Linked DNA regions of Neodiprion lecontei. The protein of the gene in region 1 purifies or fractionates together with the protein of each later gene. This does not show direct contact. Links are inferred from orthologs where the notes say so. Each region holds a gene or a part of one and is shown in the gene's direction. Other genes may lie near its edges.

Region 1 (6,520 bases):
TACTTTGTGCAAGTGCAACACTAGGGCGTTCCCATACTCGACTACTATCGAATTTCAATCTTGGCGCAAAAACACTGAACCCATCTCCATCTAACCCTGCTCTAGGCAGGGTTCATTTCAATTAGCTCGGAGTCACCCGGAGTTGCCACCTCGCAAGTTTCGGAACTATCAGAGTTTACGACCTATATTTAGACTTACAGGTTTGGAACGCGTAGAGTTGGCCAGAGTTGACTACAGTTGGGTTTGGAACGCACCCCTTGCTTAAGCTGTTTTTAAATATGTGTCAGGCAGGGATTATATAAACGTAATGGATGATGATTCATAAATGAGTGAATTACTTCACACTTTGTACATAAATAATGTTGAATATTTTATTTGCTAAATATTCTATCAACAATTAATTAACTATACAAGTTTCTACGATAATATTTTGCTTTACACATACATAATATTACTATGTACATGGATATAAATTATGTGTATATCGCATAGATACGCATATATTTTTCAAATTCATAAATAGCTACACTATCAATAACAGTCCTTTGGATTCATTTACTGCAATAAAATGAGGTAAGCCAGTTACAGATGTGATATGACTTATGTAAAGTTAATACACTAACAGACACTGTGGATAGCTGTAAATACTTTAAATAATTATGAGCATTGAATCAAAATGCCAAAAGTAATTTTAATTGCTTCTTTCGCTTTTCAGAGCCAAGTTAACTAATATTACATGTACCTTCACTGAAAAAATGTTTGTTGGCGTACCTATAAGTTGGTCGAATTTTCTAAAGCTTTTGGACCCATTGGATCTTGTATGGAATCATTAGCATTAAAATCAAGATTTGCAGGTGGGATGAGCGCAGCTGCAACAAATCTTCCTTCAGCATTAAGGAAATTGAATATAGGACAAGCTTGGCATGTTGGAACGATCTCCATGTTCATTTTGAATTTTTTGGCAAACAGAGCCAGCTTCTTGTCAACTTTAATGTTACTATGAGGGTCACCAGTTCCAATTACTAAAATGTCTGGTTTTGGATCAAGAATAGTAAATAGCGACAGAGTTTCCTCGTTGACATCATCTATAGTATTAACCTTCCAACTCAGTACGCTTCTTGGAAATATTGCAAGTGATCCAATGATACTAATGCCATTGTTTAAACGAAATCCAATCTACAACAAGAATTTTGTTAAGCTCTGTATTGGTACAAACGTTAATTTTATCCAAAAAACAAAGAAATATAATAGCTATACCTTGCTGTAGGAATTTATCATGAGTCCATAGACTTCGTCCCTGTTAAGAATAGATATCGTCGTTTTTCCATCACCTTCGTAAGCACTTTTGCAAATGATTGATGAACTATGAATTTTCCTATAACAATTGATCGGTATTGGTAAGAATAATTTACAAAAGACGTGCAAATACAAAATATAATAAAAATCATTCACACATTTGAATTCGAGTAACTCACCTAATAGTTTGTCTCATGTTTGCCGAAATTATACGGCTAAATATGAAGGTAGTCGTCATCGTTTGCAGGTACAAAAAACACTCTTACGAAAAAATTGATAATTTATTTTCATGAAGTTTGAGGTTACATTGAATTTGAAATTGTATCTTAAGGTTATTTAAGGTTACGTTCTTGGACTTTGGGAGGTTATAGGAACCTACCGGTTTCGACGGACGCGTAAAGTGACGTCATTGGTCTTTTTCGTTCGCTAATCTCGAACTAATACTACTAAAGCCACTCGGCGGTGCGAGTCGCGCCAGTCCACTATCCAGTGAAGAGATCTGTGTTTCCGTTAGATCGGCCTAAAATCCGGTGTGGACACGGCTGAAAGCTTCATTATTCTGCTTCACGCCGTACATGCAACGCTGCAAAGGTCTACCATTTCACTCACGTTGTGTATATACTTTTGAAAGTCGAAATAAAGCTCGACCTGCTACAGTTTGTGGCAATTTGAAGACTACCACTAGTCATTAGAGTTACGTGCGATGGTTTAGTACTAATCATTTAATTACTGGCTGGTCAAGCTGACAGTGATTGCGGACATAAGTTAGTTTTGGAGGGAGTTGAAGCGTTAAAATGGCGATGAGCCTTTGGTTGATTCGTCGGTGAACACGGCATACTACACACAATACCGGTGAATAATCTGGCGTTGGGTAGGCGCTTCAAGTATTTTATTGAATAAATCAAGCAAGAAATTGACCTCAGCGACGAAAAATGTCCAAGCCGGAGACGGAAAATGCCGACGCTGTCGAAACGGGGGAGAATTCAAACGGATCGTCAGCAGAAACAACATCTTCTAGGGGTGGCGATTTCGAAACCAAACTGGAGACCGACAGGAGCAAGAGGTTTGATTACCTACTAAAACAGACCGAAATTTTTTCTCATTTTATGACGAATAATCAGAAAGACAAAAGTGTCAGTCCTCTTAAAGTTAAAGCTGGGAGACCTAGGAAGCAGCCCGAGATTCCTGTCAAAGGTGACACGTCGGCTGATCTCAGACATCGAAAAACAGAGCAAGAAGAAGATGAAGAGCTCCTTGCTGAGAGCAATGTCAGTGTTGCGCCAACGACTCGTTTCGAGTCATCCCCCCATTATATAAAATCAGGAGAGCTGAGGGACTACCAGATTCGTGGTCTTAACTGGATGATTTCGCTCTATGAGAATGGAATCAACGGTATACTGGCAGATGAAATGGGTCTTGGAAAAACCCTTCAGACGATTTCATTGCTAGGATACATGAAGCATTTCCGCAGCATTCCAGGACCTCACATTGTAATTGTCCCAAAGTCAACGCTAGCCAACTGGATGAATGAATTTAAGAAATGGTGTCCCTCGCTGAGAGCTGTTTGTCTGATTGGAGACGCTGAGACAAGGAACACGTTCATCAGAGACGTAATGATGCCAGGGGAGTGGGATGTCTGCGTAACGTCTTATGAAATGGTAATAAAGGAGAAATCAGTATTCAAAAAGTTTAACTGGAGGTATATGGTAATCGATGAGGCTCATAGGATAAAAAATGAGAAATCAAAGTTATCAGAAATTTTGCGCGAGTTTAAGACTGCCAATAGACTTTTACTCACCGGCACACCGTTACAAAATAATCTTCACGAGCTATGGTCACTCTTAAACTTCTTATTACCAGACGTGTTCAACAGCTCAGACGACTTTGACTCCTGGTTCAACACCAACAGTTTTCTTGGAGATAATTCTTTGGTTGAAAGGCTGCATGCTGTCTTAAGACCATTCCTTCTTAGACGCCTCAAGGCTGAAGTAGAGAAGGGACTTAAGCCTAAAAAAGAAATCAAAGTTTACATTGGACTGAGTAAAATGCAGAGGGAATGGTATACCAAAGTGCTAATGAAGGATATCGACATTGTAAACGGTGCTGGAAAAATTGAAAAAATGAGATTACAAAACATTCTTATGCAGCTACGAAAGTGCTGCAATCATCCATATTTGTTTGACGGAGCTGAGCCGGGCCCTCCGTATACCACTGACGAACATTTAGTTTATAATTGTGGAAAGATGGTGATCCTTGATAAACTACTGCCAAAATTGAAGCAGCAAGACTCGAGGATATTAATATTTAGTCAAATGACTAGGATGCTTGATATTCTTGAAGATTATTGCCATTGGAGAAGTTTTCAATATTGCCGATTGGATGGTAACACGGCTCATGAAGATCGACAGCGGCAAATAAATGAATATAATGCTCCCGGGAGCGAAAAGTTCATTTTCATGTTATCCACAAGAGCAGGAGGTCTTGGTATTAATTTAGCTACGGCTGACGTAGTTATTATTTATGATTCTGATTGGAATCCTCAAATGGATCTGCAAGCTATGGATCGAGCACATCGAATCGGCCAACAGAAACAAGTGCGAGTGTTCAGGTTCATAACTGAGAATACAGTAGAGGAAAAGATTGTCGAACGTGCCGAGGTCAAGTTGCGCTTGGATAAACTTGTTATTCAGCAGGGCAGACTAGTAGATGCGAAACAAACAGCTTTGAACAAGGATGAGATGCTCAACATGATTAGACATGGTGCTAATGAAGTATTTGCTTCTAAAGACAGTGCCATAACGGATGAAGATATTGATACGATACTTCAGAAAGGAGAAGCTAAAACAGAGGAAATGAAACAGAAGTTGGAAAATTTGGGTGAATCATCCTTGAGAAATTTTACAGTAGATGCACCGACCGATTCAGTCTACCAATTTGAAGGTGAGGATTATAGGGAGAAGCAGAAAATATTAGGTATAGGCAACTGGATTGAGCCGCCTAAACGCGAGAGAAAGGCAAATTATGCAGTCGATGCTTACTTCAGAGAAGCGCTAAGAGTCTCAGAGCCAAAAGCTCCAAAGGCACCAAGACCTCCGAAACAACCAATTGTTCAAGATTTCCAATTTTTTCCGCCACGATTGTTTGAGCTACTCGATCAAGAAATATATTACTTCAGACAAACAGTTGGGTACAAAGTACCAAAAAACCCTGAACTTGGATCTGACGCAGGAAGGATTCAAAAGGAAGAGCAGCGAAAAATTGACGAAGCTCAGCCACTTACAGACGAGGAATTGACAGAGAAAGAAAAACTGCTTACTCAGGGATTCACAAACTGGACGAAGAGGGATTTCAACCAATTCATAAAGGCTAATGAAAAATATGGTCGAGATGACATTGAGAATATTGCCAAAGATGTTGAAGGAAAATCTCCTGAAGAAGTAATGGAGTATTCTGCTGTCTTTTGGGAACGTTGCCACGAACTTCAAGACATTGACAGAGTAATGGCTCAGATAGAGCGAGGAGAAGCAAAAATTCAGAGACGTGCCGGTATAAAGAAAGCTCTGGATGCAAAAATGGCCAGATATAGAGCACCATTCCATCAGCTAAGAATAGCCTATGGAACAAACAAGGGAAAAAATTATACCGAAGAAGAGGACAGATTCCTTGTATGCATGTTGCATAAACTTGGATTTGACAAAGAAAATGTATACGAAGAACTCAGAGCAACCGTAAGATCTGCACCACAATTTCGCTTCGATTGGTTTGTCAAGTCAAGAACAGCTCTAGAACTCCAACGAAGATGTAACACTTTGATAACGCTAATTGAACGTGAAAATCTAGAGCTTGAAGAAAGAGAGAGACAAGAGAGACGAAAGAAGGGTGGAAGTATTGGATCAAAACCAGCGTCCAAACGGAAGCAAGAGAATCTTCCAGCACCTCAAGATAAACCTAGGAAGAAGAAGAAGTAAATGTACTTTTCATGAACTATGCAACACAATTTCAGTTTATCTAAATTTTAATAAGTTCCAATATCACTTTAAGTTTATTACAGTGGCTGAACTCACGTCGGACACAGGTTGTTCAGGTTAAAATAATTCGACATTATAATCTTTAGGGTCATCTATTATCAAACCACTGTAAACATAAATTAAAAAAATTTTAATTTTTTAACTGCACGTTAATTAAATCTTATAAAATAACTTCTATTAATTGTGTCGTTATGTGAAGTGAGGGGCACCAATTATACAAATTCAATACATTCTTCTAGACAACCTATTTACTTGTCACAAATAACTTGTTTGCCTGTAAAAAGAAGCGATAAACAGCAAATTTCATTTATATGAAGAACACCTTCTTTCCGTGAAGTCTTACGTAATGTTTAGAAGTAACGTCTTTTCTAACTAGAACAGTACATTGTCACACACGTTTGGAACCATAGTTATTTATGAAATATGCATGTAAAACAAAGAAATGCTCTAATTGTTAACGCTGAAAGATTTAATTAAACATCAATCATATTTACAACATTGTCAAATTCAGTGTTCTCTGTACTCTCACTTAGAATTAATTTACTTGGTAAAACTTGGGGATTTGATTCACGATTGATTGGTACGAAGAATTTTGTTTACTATCACGTTTATTGGATTTAAGAATTCTTATCGAGGAGCAGAGTAAATAAAAAGTATGAAATAAGATACATATGTATTATTTAATTTATATCCTAAATTATTTCACAATTTATAATATTTCTATAATTACATATATAATACATATATGTATAATAGTAACAAATATCTTGCAGTGAACACACGTCATTCGTACGTAGCGTAAATACTTGAGAACTATTAAATTATCCTCGTAATCGTCTTCATATAAATATAATAAAAATGAACTGTTTGATTTAAAGAAAGCATAATTTTGTAATACATATCGACAAATCAATTGCATTTTTTACGATCAAGATTTTATCTGTAATTATCTGTGTGCAAAACATAAAAATTGAATATTTAAATGTACCGTCTCTACTGCCAAAATATCTCATCCTATACAAGCATATTAGAGATTATTACGGTAATTATGATACTACCCTACATAATCGTACAGAAATAAATGAATATAGTATGCACATAGAATGTGTGACCAGGTATAATACATATATAGGTGAATCCTATATACCTATAAATGCGTTTACACATACTATGAATACGAATACGTATGTTTTTGA
Region 2 (4,625 bases), about 22 Mb from region 1:
CTTGTTGGTGCCAGGTGAACAGTCGGCCTGACAACAGCGCTACATCCTCATTTCTTTCAGGATTTCAGATCTAAGCAATCTCTTGTTGCGTGGACATAGGTCGTTGATCATAAGGCGCTTATGCTCGAGTTCGCTGTATCAGTTCGCTTATGCGTGCAAGCTTTACGCGCACTATTCTGGTGGTGTTGATTTCACCATAGCGTCAGCGTTCTCGAGGCAACGGCGCGTTGTATTAGGTGCGTAGTTTTGCTTCCAGAATATTCTAATGTATGACAAGAATACATAAATACACTGGAATATTTCATTTGCTTTAACGACTAACTGGAGACACAATAGGGTTTATTGATTGTGTATTTGAATATTATTTTGAGAGCGTTATATTTTATTTGCTTAATTATCTGACAGGTATAATAGTGAGTACGTAGCAGATATGATTACAGATTTAATATTAACTTTAAATACCTACTGCTGTGATTATTCTCAGGTATTCGTATTGTATTTAACGGAGTAAAGTATTTGAGGAATTGGTTAGATAAGAATCTTAGGATAAGTTTTTATGTATGTTCTGTATAGTTTTCTCTGATGGCTAATATGCTTACTCGAGTTAGATTGGTTTGTAAGGTATCTGAGGATTGCTCTTGTGCTTTTTGGTTGCCTGTTAATCGGCGTTGCAACTATTCAGGTCACCTCTTTGGAAATTGTACTGAGCTTTGTAAAGAGTTGACGATTTGTACATTTTTACGTTTAATTCCCAGAGCGGTATGAATTTTAATCATCTGAAGGGTTTGATGCTATTATAATAATGGATTCATCATTATATTTTTCGTTGTTTTGAATTGATATTCCATTGGTTAACCATACAAAATCATCCGGCAAGTTGGCTTACCTTCAGTGGTTTACTCATAGTGTTACTGATGTAATCTCCAGGTAGCGTTCGATACGGTTCCACATTAGATATCTACATTGCCTCCATAACGTTCGTAAGCGTTGTCTACAATACGTTGTTTTCGAAAGGATTCTACAATACATGTTTCATAATTTGTATGCATGGTTATAGAGGTTCCACAATCGCTAGTTTTATAGATTATTACGGCAATGTAACCTAGCGTTAGTTGCTCTATATTATATCGGTTATATGTATATCTATTGTATCACAGTTTTATTCTATCTCCAAGGCTATATGGTGTAACATAGTTTGTCTGTAATACGGTTCTAATCTCCGTGGTACTTGTACAATGATATTATAGCTGTCTGTAATGCGAGGATCTAGTAATAGGCTTTTGGCCTTTAATTGATGAGTTTTAAAGTCACACTTCATTTAGTCATGTTTCAAATGGTTGGTTATTTGATATCCTTTGGCTACAAGATTCTCACACTTAAGTAGAAGTGTTATGGAATAGTCATAAACAATGAAACAAACGGTCGTTGCATTCGGATATCAGAGATGAGTAGGTCGCTCATTTGGTCATTTGCGTCGCTTCCATTCAAGAAGTCCGCCTGGTATAATGAATTGGACTCACAGCAAAAGTGCGTACCGAATGCGGACTTTGGACTGCACTTTTTCTGCGAGTCGAATTCGCCAATACACTACGACGCAATATCAAAATGACTCGGTTAGTATAACCGGGACTGTTATCTTTATCGGCGGATTGGAGGGCCCGTGTTGGTCTCCAAAGTATTTTGTTTCCTTGTAACTCTCCAGGTGTCACTATGACCGCCGTAGAGCTGCACGTGTTGCGGTCGGCCGCTTTGAGAAAATTTCTAATTCCCATGAGTTTGGCCAGTGTCGGTCGTTGTATGAAGCCGCATAGTTCGGCAGCGAAGCGTGCCTTTCAAACCAACATGTCTTATACCACGGTTGAGAAGGGAACACCAAACACGACGAATTACAGGATATATTTCAGTGAGTAGTCAACTCTCCGAGCCATTTACACTTTATCTCATGCCGCGTTCTTCCCGTCTCCGTATTAGCTCTGACCTATCGACTGCTGTGCGATGGTCCCTGAACCCCAGAGGGTCGATTCCTAGATAACTCTTGTAAAATGATTAGAGTAAATTGACCGTTGAGCACGTTCGTGACGGCAATAACGTTCATTCATTATGTAGTATCAAATATCCCTCATTCTCTGTGATACTTTTCGCGCCGTTCGAAAAAATATGTTATCCCACGCACGCTTTGCGGTATACGCGGTATACGTATTTTTTTTTTTTTATATGTATAGACGTGCTATGTGATGTAGCGTTAGGTCACGTGACATGACCACATATTTTAAACCGGAAAGATGTTCAAGATTTCTGAATAACAATATTCAAGTATTCTACCGTTGCTGCAGCCGTACGATTGAATGGAATTTGACATTTAGACTTTTTCATATGGCGGAATGAGTTATTTCGATTATTCACAGATATCTGCGAGATTGACGGAATAGATACCTAATTATGTAAAAGGAAAGTAGTGCCGACTAAATGTCAACGGACACATGCTTGATTTCATCAATTTCACCATATAATTCCATATGTTTAGTATCGCTGAAGTAACTGATCAGGAATTTCACTATCAGTTTCAACCGTGGTTTTTCTGCAAGTTTCTTCATCGCATAGTTAGACAAATGATTCACTCAAACTACATTAATCGAAAGAAATACGTCATAATGACTTAGTGACTTGGAGTCTGATTTCACGCATGATTTAATCTAAATATTCTCAAGGTTTCTAGGCATTATCATAACTCTAATGTGTGCAAATTTTGTTGATCTTATCTCCTGAATATATTAATAGATTTGTTAGTTATTGGGTCAGAAAAAGATCCTGAAAAGGGCTTGTTTCCGGAAGCTGAAGAGTTAAAAATTGTTTTGGAATTTCACCTTATGTAAGAGTTAATAAATCTGCCAATTGAATCTGAGGATTAAGAATCATATTTTTTTTCAAGTTGCTGTGCGGCAATTTTAGAATTGGTTTATAGAACTGTTCCAAACTGGCTTTGTGGTCAGTTGACAGTTTACTACATTTTAAAGTTGTTCACTAGGAATTTTTTTAAATGCTTCGTTACGTCAACGTCGTAGACTTCAACCTCTCTTTAATACTGGGTTATCAAATGTTGATCACACTTCAGCCAGTTTCTTACCAAAGAAGCATCTGATATTGTTCAATTGTCACGCCACAGAAATTTTGATACCTTATGATTTCAAAAATCCACAGCTTTGTTTAAAAAAAGCTTTTTGCTGACAAATATAGATGTTCGATTCCTCGAGATATTTCCTTATTTATCTGTTACAAACTGTTAGCTTTCTTGAAGACAATTCGTTTAAAGGGGGGTTCACAAATATTTAAAAGGATGCTGTGTCCTTGATATACAAAGTGCTTTAGATCATTTATAGAATATACCTAATGTAATTAAAAATTTGTGAACAATCCAATAATGATACACATTGTTTAGCAGTACGAAAGGTTAATGGTGTTTTATCGGATTGTCAGAATTTCTTCTTTTAAACTTTATTTAGTGAAAATTCTTCAAAAAATCATTTCTTAATCAATAATACCGGCACATAGATGATGTCATATGCCATTGAGAAAGCTGCAATGCCTTTACTGTTTTTCGATAGTTGCATGATACTTTGATGTATATTGCGAAGTAATCTGAGGTGAAATCAGAAGCAGGAAGGCAATGCTTCCCACCAAAATTATTGGATGCTATGACCAATTTGATTCATATGATTACCTTATGAGAATAGTTTGAACATTATTAAGATTTAAGGGGGTCCTCTGGTTTGACGCCCTGATTTTTGAGCATTTTTTAGGATTTTTTTGTAAAGACCAATGAAGGGATAGAACTTTGAACTTTTTACCATTTATTTATACATATTTCAAGAATGTACAGTTAAATTTTTAGCTAAAAATATTCAGTAGAATTAAAGTTATAGTGGTCTGAAGACAACCGCCTCGAAAAAATGGACACCCACTTCTTCCGTCGTCGAATAGCTAGTCCATACAACTTAGTCATTTCTTTGATGACTTTATCAGTCAGTTTCCCTGCTCCTTTTCCGCCTATCCCTTTATTATCTTTACCCTTTTTGAGACCACGGAGTCTTGTTCCCATTCTTTTCTCGACGTGACCAACGCATTCTTTTTTCGTTACAGCAGTTTTTCCGTACGTTTTAGAATCTAAGATCCTTCTAAAAGTTTTACAATCCCCATCACTAATACATGTGAGGTATTTAATTTCATTTTTAACCAAAGATCTTGCAAACATCTGTACAATAGCACTAATTTCCATCTTTTCTCAACTTCCAGTATGATTAATGGTACATTCATGTACATGAAATTCATACCACATTTCATATTTCACTGGTTCTGTATTTTTTTTATGTTTCCACATATTACACGCTGTGCAATAACTACTCATGACCATAGCATCTAGAACTTTGCCAGTATACTTCCCAATTAATGTAGAAACTCCAAATAAAGATGAAAAGCCTAGTTTTCTCCAGGTACCGTCTCCCGATACCGTCAACTCATCACGTATGTTTCCTGCTTCTTCATTCATCGTTTTTTCTTGCGAGACAGCAAATGACAACACAGATTCACAAACTGTAGATGAAGCTATGTGTATATTTTCTAGAAGTGCG

Evidence for each region. Proteins that work in one complex are often made in the same cells at the same time.
Region 2: the proteins of chromatin-remodeling complex ATPase chain Iswi (region 1) and inorganic pyrophosphatase fractionate together in Drosophila melanogaster (co-fractionation; 4 studies listed by BioGRID, with this or other methods). This does not show direct contact. The link is inferred for Neodiprion lecontei from reciprocal best matches to the Drosophila melanogaster genes Iswi and Nurf-38.

Annotation. Positions count from the first base shown.
Region 1 is NC_060263.1:31,594,987-31,601,506, forward strand, and holds chromatin-remodeling complex ATPase chain Iswi, read left to right. Parts: upstream 1-1,870; 5' UTR 1,871-2,228; coding exon 2,229-5,264; 3' UTR 5,265-5,992; downstream 5,993-6,520. Other genes in the region: NADH dehydrogenase [ubiquinone] 1 alpha subcomplex assembly factor 3, read right to left, coding at 772-1,176, 1,258-1,375, 1,476-1,557, 1,676-1,706.
Region 2 is NC_060263.1:9,925,956-9,930,580, reverse strand, and holds the start of inorganic pyrophosphatase, read left to right. Parts: upstream 1-1,618; 5' UTR 1,619-1,710; coding exon 1,711-1,903; intron 1,904-4,625. UniProt on the Drosophila melanogaster protein: Component of NURF (nucleosome remodeling factor), a complex which catalyzes ATP-dependent nucleosome sliding and facilitates transcription of chromatin.